Caenorhabditis elegans: one gene and its partner. The protein of the gene in region 1 interacts with the protein of each later gene in a pairwise test. Each region holds a gene or a part of one and is shown on either strand. Other genes may lie near its edges.

Evidence for each region.
Region 2: the proteins of dct-15 (region 1) and ZK632.12 interact in a two-hybrid assay, tested with the Caenorhabditis elegans proteins (one large-scale study listed by BioGRID).

Annotation. Positions count from the first base shown.
Region 1 is NC_003282.8:9,805,751-9,812,371, forward strand, and holds dct-15 (RGS domain-containing protein), read right to left. Parts: upstream 4,713-6,621; coding exon 4,668-4,712; intron 4,189-4,667; coding exon 4,087-4,188; intron 4,041-4,086; coding exon 3,705-4,040; intron 2,297-3,704; coding exon 1,960-2,296; intron 1,772-1,959; coding exon 1,623-1,771; intron 1,575-1,622; coding exon 1,494-1,574; intron 1,451-1,493; coding exon 1,315-1,450; intron 1,267-1,314; coding exon 1,081-1,266; intron 996-1,080; coding exon 727-995; 3' UTR 656-726; downstream 1-655. Other genes in the region: Delta(6)-fatty-acid desaturase fat-3, read left to right, coding at 1-21, 67-249.
Region 2 is NC_003281.10:9,828,979-9,832,975, forward strand, and holds ZK632.12 (uncharacterized protein), read left to right. Parts: upstream 1-1,823; 5' UTR 1,824-1,859; coding exon 1,860-1,875; intron 1,876-1,922; coding exon 1,923-2,315; intron 2,316-2,794; coding exon 2,795-3,003; intron 3,004-3,051; coding exon 3,052-3,192; intron 3,193-3,238; coding exon 3,239-3,280; 3' UTR 3,281-3,445; downstream 3,446-3,997. Other genes in the region: ZK632.11 (uncharacterized protein), read left to right, coding at 1-193, 239-634.

The DNA of each region.
Region 1 (6,621 bases):
TGGGGTGGACTCAATTATCAGGTACTTTTATTTCCAAATGCTTTAATTTCTTGTTTTCTTCTTCAGATCGAGCACCACTTGTTCCCAACAATGCCACGTTGCAATCTGAATGCTTGCATGAAATATGTGAAAGAATGGTGCAAAGAGAATAATCTTCCTTACCTCGTCGATGACTACTTTGACGGATATGCAATGAATTTGCAACAATTGAAAAATATGGCTGAGCACATTCAAGCTAAAGCTGCCTAAACAATCTGGGTGTTCAAAAAGTTTTTTCTTGTTTTTTTTAAATTTAATTCTTTGAAATTATTTGTTTTCCGTCATTCTTCCTCCATTCCCTTTTCTGGTAGAAATAAAACCTTGTTTTTCAATGTTTGAAAAGAGCTTCCCCCGAAGGTAGGCGCATTCCTATGTGCCTACCTCTCGACTGCCTGTCACCTTGATTTAAAATTGTGACGTGACTTCCAATTTATTCTCGTCGCCGAAATTTACTACATCTCGTTGGATCTTTTGAATTAAACTATTGAAAGGTAATATAAGAAATCAAAAAGGATTCACGTGTAGTTTGAAAGCCGGCACGAGGTAGGCGTAGGTAGTCTTGTATACAAGCAGATATTATTATGGACAAGTGGGAGGCTTGCATTCAAGCATTTTGTTACAAAATAATATTTTATTAAATATTCCAAATACATATTTACAAGCATAAAACAAATTATTCTGTAAGATTTACACCCTCGTTGGCATTAACATCGAGCCCGATCGAATCTCCTTTGGCTCATTAAGCCGGCTCAATTCATCTGGACTTACAGAAACCTCAGTTGAGTGAGGAACTGCTGGAGATGGACTGCGAGTATTCAAACCACGTCGATTTGCAAATCTTCTGTATGAATTTGGACGAAGACGGGATATTAGAGGACGGATTGATCGAGTACGTTTGAGAAGAGATTCGCCTGATAAGAAGCGAGAAACGAAGAGATTTAGGCCACTTTGGGATGCTGAAATAATTTTTTTTTGGATTTTTCGAAACATTAGTCTTAAGTTTTATATTCAATTGATTCAAGAATTTGTGCATTAATTTACCTTGCATCCTTTCAATTTGAGCATGAAGGCTCAAAATTGATACCAAAATTATTACCAAAATGACAATAGCAACAAAGTTGAACGCAATGAAAAGCCTTGAGTTCGAGGAGTTTGTCAAAGTGAGTAGAAGGGGGAATATTAAGTGTCCTGAACAATGTCCAGAGAGTAAAGTGAATGTGTTGTTTGCTGAAAAAAATTAAATTTGAAGTTTATTGATAGCCAGGAATAACTAACATTTTAGCGACAAGCTATGATTTATGTAGATCACAAGTGCAGGTAGAAGTGGCGCCAGGAAGAATCCAAAAATAAGTGAACCAACCAGAAGGAATTGTTCGGAAGCTATACAACAGCATCCAATTCCACATCCGAACTGAATTAGATATATATATTTTTTTATCATTCAAAGAACTTACAATTGAAACTCCAACCAAAAAATACGGAGCCATATAATCGGAGAAAAACAATGAAACTGCACGACCCCACATGAAAAAAATCTGAAAAAAATATCCTTTATATTTCTGAAATTGTTGCTTTTTTGATACCAAAAATAGCTGATAATAAAATATGGAAGCTGATGGTTGAGCAAGTATAAGAAATGGAAACATGGTGTACATTATATTGGCAATTGATGCAACAACTGAACATAGAAGTACCAATTTTAAACTGCTTACGTCACTTTGTTGGGTTAAACCTGAAAAATAATTATTGTTTATAGGCCTTTTATCAATACAAGGAAGTAGAAACTTTAAAGGTTGTGTGACTTGGATGCTTTTATTTTGGGATTAGAAACATAATACATTTGTTTTTATTTTAACTATGGTTTCTGGATTTTCTAAAGTCAGACTATCAGAAATCAAACTTCAATTAAAAAAAACTCACTTTGGCAGTTTTCATGATGATGGTTATTATTGTTATTATTTGTTTCAATATCATCATATTCTGTCCTTCTTATTGAAATTGATGTTTTCATTGAAACGTTGAACTCAGTTTTAAGGCATAATATTAACAGGGGAATTTGAAGGATTGCTGTCGCATAGAAAATGTAGTCTTGACGGAGTGATGGATTTAAATAGAATTTTTCGAGACTTGGAATGTGTGGTCCTGTTGGAAGAACTGGATTTCTTTTTGAATTACAATCCTCTTGATGTTCAGAAGGTGCCGATTGATAGAACATGACAGCGGTCACTGATCCGAATGCTCCTATGAGGTGGAGAAACTTAAAAATTTCAATTTTTGACTAATTTACTGTCTGATATTTTTGACTGAATTTTGAATGATTAAACAGAAGAAACAATGTTGCGTAGCATGCAAAGTGTCAAGAAAACTAAAAGAAAATGGAGATTGGTCCTCGGTAAAAAATTGAATAATATTAGGTTGAGCAAAAAGTCTTTGCAAAGTTTGTACTTTTCTTCATTTCTCAGCGTTAATTCATTTTTTTCTGTTTCTGTTTTTTTATTTGTTTAGTACGTAATGTGCATGTTTAATGCATTTGAAAAAACTTTTGGGTGCTGTTCAAAATGGCCGAGAATTTGCTCGCCGATCACCACGCTCTCCGAGGAGTTTTTCTGTACGAGTTCCTCCAAGGCCGCAAGTGCAACGAAGCTCGTCGTAACATGTGTGCAGTGTTAGGCAATAACTCTGTCACCTACAATACCATGAAGTTTTGGTTCGAAAAGTTCACGAAAAAGAACTACGATCTCGATGATAAACCAAGATCAGATCGCTCTCGTTCGGATATGGATGAGGATAATTCGAGAGTCCTGGAAGATGGTCCAAGAGCAACGAACCGCGAACTTTCTGCGACTCTCAAGCATCCCCAAAAAAACCATCATCAACCATCTCCATAGAACCGGAAGGGTGTCAAAGTTCGGTCAACTTGTTCCTCACAAATTGTCCGATTCTCAGAAAAATTGCTTTGCGACCTCTCTCTTTCGCTGCTCACTAGGAAACGAACGACGGACTGGATTAAGGATATCATTACTGGAGATGATAAATGGGTATTATATGTTAGCCATACCAGGAAAAAAGAGTGGGTCCCGGTCGAGGAAACCGCGAAACCTGGCCTCAAGTGAGAACTTCAAGGAAAAAAGTGCTTCTCTCAATTCGGTGGAACAGTAAGGGTCATTTCCAAAGAGCTTCTTCCAAACTTTGCTACAATCAACGCTGGCCTATACTGCATTTAATTGGAAAAGGTGGTCCATGCAGACCCTCAGAATCCAATTTTCGTCTCACCCACCGTATTCAACGGACTTGTCTCCTACTGACTACTATATGTTCCGCTCTCTCCAAAATATCCTTGCCGGGCAGAAGTTTCATGATCGAAAGGTCGTCGAAACGGGGTTGGACGACTTCTTTGCCTCATAATCGCAGGAGTTCTAGGCGGAGGGCACTGTTCAACTTCCATTGTGTTGGCAAGAAGTCATAAGCATTAATGGTAAATATATTACCCATTGAATCTTGTTCGCTTTGAAAAAATACTACTTCCAAAAAAAAATCAAAATTTTGCAAAGACTTTTTGCTCAACCTAATATCTTGGTTTGTCCCATACCTTGGGTTGTTTAATTGAACTTTTTTTACATCTTGCGGTTAAGTTCTACAAGACAGTCTTTAATAAAAAAATTTACCTGTAAGAGTAGAAAGCTTTGCTGCTTGAATATAACAACAAAGTTAGATATCACAGCAGACAACGAAATTCCAAGAACAGTGCCAAAAACAATAAACACAATACAAAGAAGTAAAATGATGTGAGCAGCATGTGGAAGAGCCAAAAAGCACGCGGATATCAGAATTAGACAGGTGATATACACGTATTTGAGTGAGAGTCTTCGAGATAAATTTGAATGAAAAACAGCTCCCAGAAAGATTGAACCATTGAATGCAAAGTGTAAATTGAAGAGATGTGCAGATGAAATCATTGAATAACAAGCTGAATGTGAATAGCTTAATGAAATGAAGGTCACCTGAAAATGACCGAATTTTCAGAGAAAAGACTGGAATTTGAATTACCGTGAATCCAATTAGAGAATATATCCATAAATGGATAATGAATAGAGATGGATGCTTGGATGCGGTCTCTTTTGCTTCCACGATTCTATCGAAAATTGGTTTCTGAAAATTAAGATATCACATGAAGAAATTTATTGGAAAGAAATTCTGATTTTGTAATTCTATGAGAATTTGGTTATTCTTTGCTGTTTTCTGTTACACAAAAGTTGAAGTAGTGTGAATGGGGATGTTGATTTTAAAATACCCTAAAGAGTCTTACAATCGAAATATCCACAAACGAAATACAAAAATGAAAAAGAATGAAATCCAACTTATCGAAACAATTAGTCTTGCACTTCTCATTTTGGAAGGAATTCAAGCAGAGAGATTAGTCACAATTGAAATTTTTTTTCATTCTTTCCAGCAAGTTTTTTTTTTATTCTGTGGTATTTCCTAATTTCAGAAAAAAACCTCTAACTATGGGACTGCACCTTTAAGCTGATCAAGCTAAAAGAAATTGCCGTTTCAAAAAATAAAAAGTTGGAATTTGCACATTAAAAAATCGGGGCAATATTTTTAAAAAATCCAAAACAAATTCATACCGGATGATAAGCTGGATCGTAAAAATCATTCACTTCTATTGGCATCTCAATTTTAATTGTTCAAAAATGGAACAGATACAGATATCACTCAGATATGAATATTAAAATAGCTTTCTCTTCAAATTTGTAATTTAAAAACGGCAATACAAATACTAAATAGAAAATTCGCTCACTACTGAATTATATGTTTTTCACTATCATTCTTGGAAATTCTATATATTCACATGAGACTTTTGGTAGCTATAGCGACTCACCATTGCTGACGAAATCTTCGAAAAAGCCATCCACATGTAAAGTACAATATTAAGCAAAAAGTCTGAAAATGAAATTGTTTGGTCAAGTAGAAAGTATTTGTAAAAACAGAAGTGTGACAAGATTATGAGATTATTTACACTCAAATAAAAAGAATAGTGTGATCATTTAAGCTTTATTCCTGGAAGAAATGCATGCGCGGTATTATTTTGCAAAAAATGTGAATTTTTCCATCCCATGTGTTACTATGAAATAATGAGTCACATAGCTATGTCACAAGAGTTGAGGATTAACAGTAAAATGGAATATTTCAGCACCAAAGTAATACTGAAAAATCAGGAAAAGCAGGAAATTATAAGGTTGGAATAATACCTTATTCTTTCTTAGCACGAAATAGTTAGCGTCATAACATATGTCAGTAATCTCTATTGTTGTCAAATTAGCTTTTCCGTTTCGAATAGCGGTTCAACGTGTAAACAGTAAACACGTTTAAGATGTTACAGAAGACCCATCAAAAATTAGTCTAACAGTTTCTATGATAATTTAGCTTTTTCGCTAAAATAATGCCAAGACCTTGAAAGTATCCTAATTATTTTAGTACACATACCTGCTAATCTAATTAGAGAAAATCATTTTTTGACAGGCTTCCAAATTTTTTAAATTTCAAAAATTTTGTTTGGGAAGTTTCCAGCCAGTTTAAACTTTTCGGTTTAGTTTTATTGAATTAGTGTTTTTGAAAAGAAGCTTCGTTATTAACCTAACTGGAAGAACTACAAAAATGAGAGGAAGTAGAGAATTTTAATAAGATTGATCTCGAAACAATCTAGAAGCAATCGTTGAGATCAATTTACAGAAGGCTTGGGATGCAGAAGAGATCATCTTTTGAAATGGCTTATCATTTGAGCCGTCACGCTTCAAAGCCAACGGAAATTAAAATAAGCGGTTTAACACAAAAAAAGACTGAAATCGATAGGTATCAGGAGGGTAATGGAAAAATAGGAAATACGCAGCAAATTGAATTGTCGGAAAGGATTACCGATTCGTAATTGTTTTTTCGCAGTTATTTGGTGTCTACCACTGCCCTATGAATTCTTACAAACTGCTCAATGCTTTCTGATCTTATTTTAATTTTCCAGTTGATCAAAGAATTTCAGTTCATTAATTGAATTCTAGAATCTAAGTTCAGCTGGAACTGATCGGATCAACTGAAAAAAGAGTTCATGCGTGGGATTTTCAGACATACAATTTATGTTTTGATATAAAAGAAAGAGGAGAGATTACTATTTATAGAGAAATTTAAAAAATGGAGAGGTGAGTTTTGATTAATCTGTTCTTGATTTGGATTCACGAACAGAATTTTTCTCTGATGAAATTATTTTATAACTGATAAAAATAGTTCATAAAATGTTCTTCCAGTGAGACATTTTTGCAAGCAGACTTTTCTTGCGAAAATTAGAAATTTAAAGTAGGAGTTCACAATGAGATGACCTTACACATAGGCCCCAAAATACCTGCCTTTTAGGCGAGGTACGCCTACTTCAGGTGCTGTAAAAATTGATAGGTAGAAGTAGAACGCGTGAAGTAGGCACCTGTTGTATTACAATTTCTAGAATTTGCTTATTTCGGGAAATCTTCTAATTTTATGAACTTGTGAAAAATCAAAGCAGAACCCGATAGAAAAATATACAGTTCCTTGAAAATA
Region 2 (3,997 bases), on another chromosome or scaffold:
TCCACCAAGAGATGTATTTTGCTCAGTTTATCAAGATGAATTGCTGAAAATATTCAAGAAAAGTGAAAAAGCGGAGAAACGAAGAGCCAAATCAACTCCGAAACATAAAAAGTTCGCTAATGAAGATGATGATGATGTTATAGTAATCACAAGTGATGAAATCAAAATTGACAAGTTCAATACTCCGGGAGAAGTAAATTAAATTAAAATAAAAATTCAATATCAGTTACTTTTCCAGGAAGATTCCATTATAATACTCGACGGCTCTGCTTCAACAGAAGAAAAACACCTTTTGACTCCGATTCGAAAAGATGTAAAACTAGGAGAATCGATGTTTGAATTAATCGGAACTCCAGTGTTTGGTAGCTCTCTTCTTACTCCTGTTGCTCCACTTGAAGCGTTTGCCGTCGGAATTCAACCATTTGAAGCAAGAGAAGAACTTACTGGATGCAAGGGAAACTTCAGAAATCTCATGGACAAATTGAAAGAAATCCGCGAAAATAACTTCGTTCCGGAGCCTGAAGAAGAAGTTATTTTGGTTTCAACGAATGAAATTTCGTCGTCGAATAACTCTGGAACTGCTAAGAACAAAAATAATCAGAACAGGAAAAGAAATAGAAGACATGCTAAATGAATTGGCTTTTTGAAAAATCCTTTTGTTGAATTATTGTTGTTGCTTAAAATTGTTGTTGTTGTTCCATATTTTTACGCAAAACTACCATGATAAAACCTTTTTTCTTGATTTTCCAACCTCTCTCTTGTTGTAAATGGTTCCGAATGTCCACAATCTTCTATTTTGGTCATCAATTATATCTTTATCTCTGCGTTTCTTTCACTCTTGCCGCTTTCCGATGGATTGGTGACACACAGCAAATATCGGTTTTCTCAATTTAAACTAAATTGGTCTAATTGGCTTATGTTTAATCAGATTATTTCGAGAAACCTGTGAATATTAAAAAGATGGTATAGGTTTTGAGGGATTTTTTGCCGAATTTATTTTTTAGAAAGTGATGGAATTTTTTATGATTGCAAATTTTTTTAAAAATTATTTAAAAACGAGCTGAATTATTTTTTGAATTCCCGCGCAAACGAATTCCTAAAGTTTCGACGTTTTCAGGTTATATTATTAAGGTTTTTATTAAATTATTGATTCGAAACATAATTTTGTAAAACTTTCATACATTTTTTCCCGCAAAACAAGTTTACATTATTGATTTGAGGCCAGATTTAGAGTTTCAGAGAAGTTCTTTAGATTAACAAAATAAAATAAAAAGAAACCCCAATTAATATAGCCGGAAAAAGCAAAAAATATCGAAATTGTGTAGATCACTTGCGCGGGAATTCAGAAAAAGTTTAGCCTTTTTAATCATTTTTTTTCCAAAATTGAAAAAAATCATTTAAAACAATGTTCAAATTTTGTAATTTTGTTACAGTTATTTTCGGTAAATATATTGAGATTGTTATTGTTAATTAGAAGGAAAACCTACAAAATCTGCTCCCATACCATGCATAACTATATTTAAGATCCGAAATCTTATTCAAAAAAGTAATAAAATTAATTGAAACCTTTTTTCCAGGCCACCAGTTGTTCTTATCATTCATTCGTGACAATTTATTCATTGCATTCTTTTTCTTTCGTTCAGGCAGCGGTCCACTGGCTTGTCCATCCGATTGTTTGCACATAAAGTGTATGATGACTCATCACATTCCTTTTCCCTCTCTTCTTATTCTGTTCTCACTCAAAATAATTTTTTGTTATGATTTTCAACCTTCTTCGTCTCGAACTAAATTTATGAATTTTTTGAAATATTCAAAGTTTTCAGCGGATTCTTTCCATCGTTTCTAAATCACAAAACACAATGGTTGATCGACTTGGTAAGTTTTATTTATTTTCTTTTATAAAATAATTTATTAAATTTTAGTGAATAGTGAAGTGAATTCCCGTCGAATGGCTAACGTAGAACAATGCTTTGGAAAAATGGGAGAACAATTGTCGGTATTCGGACGAGTTCTTGTCGGAGAAGGTGTTCTTGTGAAAATGTGCCGAAAGAAACCGAAGCAACGGCAATTCTTCTTGTTCAATGATATTCTTGTATATGGAAACATTGTGATTTCGAAAAAGCGATATAATAAGCAAAGAATTCTAAGATTGGAAGGTGTACAAGTAGAAGATCTGGAAGACGATGGAATTGAGAAACATGGATGGATTATTAAGACACCTGCAAAATCGTTTGCAGTTTATGCAGCAACTGAAACTGAAAAACGAGAATGGATGTTGCATATTGAGAGATGCGTTACAGATCTCCTTGAAAGAGGTAATACACGAAAATTATTTTCAAAAAATTTCCACCAAAAAATTGCAGAGAAAGTTTGAAACCACCGTAATCTTTAAAGGCGCTTACCATTTTCCGTTTCAAAAAATCTTGTCGTTTCGAGACCGAAAACCGTATTTTTAATGCAACAATCGCAACATTTTTCGTCTAATTAATATTAAGCTTAAATAAGTCTTAGGCGCATTGTGGTCTTTTTATTTAAAAAAATGTTGGCAGCAATGTTCAATTTAATTTATAAATTGTGATGCAAAATTGGTCCATAGATCGACAAGTTACAGTAATTTGTTGTCCGCCTGGCGAGACCCATGCGCCTAAGATAGGTGAAAAATTCTCATATTTAAATGACCAATAATATACGTTCTACAAAAAAATTGGGAATCACCATATCTCTAAATTAAAACGGTTTTTTAGATAAATTATTTTTTTCTATTAAAAATACAATCAAAATTTTCTACTTTCAGGAAATAAGCAAGCCGCGACTGCTCACGCAGCTGTATGGGTTCCCGATGGTGAAGCAGTGAAGTGTATGGTCTGCGGGAAAACTCAATTCAATCTGGTTCAAAGAAGACATCACTGCAGAAATTGTGGACGTGTCGTGTGTGGCGCCTGCTCATCGAGAACATTCCGTATTGACAATGTACATAAGAAGCCTGTCCGAGTTTGTGATCATGTACGGTGAAGTTTGACACTTTATCGTCTAAATATCATGATTTTTCAGTGCTTTGACAGTCTGAGTAGTGCCACACCAGGACAAGAAGAAAGTGAACCAAAAACGGGAAATCGCTTGCACCATGAGGATTCCTCCTCGGATAGTGAAGACGAGGTCAATGGTAGTGGACGATCGAGTAATGAGAGCCGGGTATACTGAATATTGCCTAATCTTTCAATAAACATACAAATTTCAGCCAACATTCTACCGTGAGGACGTTCAGCAGCCGGCAACATAGTTCAACGCATATAAACTACGATGAAAATTCTAAAATCCACGTCCTCATTCCTACTACTAAATTAATATTATATTTTCTTAAACGTTCCTGTGATATACAGCAATTGTACGTATTTTTTTTTGTTGCTTCCAACGACTTTTACAATTCCTGAAAAAAAGTTATTTCCTTTTTCTTCAATTCAAGATTATTCAGAACTGCACAAAATTAAAACGACCACATGACAGAAGGAATCATTTTAATAATCATGAATTACAGAAATGATCAAATTTCTTGTCCTTACAAGAAACAGCGCAATTAACTGAAGTGTTCAGAGAAACGTATGGTCCATTCGGCTTGGAATCATATAAATGTTCTTAAATTATTAAAAGTAAAATAAATGTTTTATTTACATATGATTAGTGAAATCAGAGCACAAAAGTGTGCAATGAAAAATAAATTTTATTTTCTGGAGTACTGTAAGCGGGCACATGGTGTATTGTACGCAGAGTTCTTCGAGTGTTTGCGTATCCACGTTGTTCTCCACGTGGACAAAACGCGCGGCACGTTTACTTTCTGAAAATTCGTTTTATTTTTGCATTACTGTCTTCTTAAAAGCTGAAAATGGCTGCAAACGAAGTGTAAATTTCATAAATTCCTAAGCTTTTATTCATATATATATATATATATATATTTCATCATGTCCTATTTTTGCAGTGATTCCATGGAACCAGGAGAATT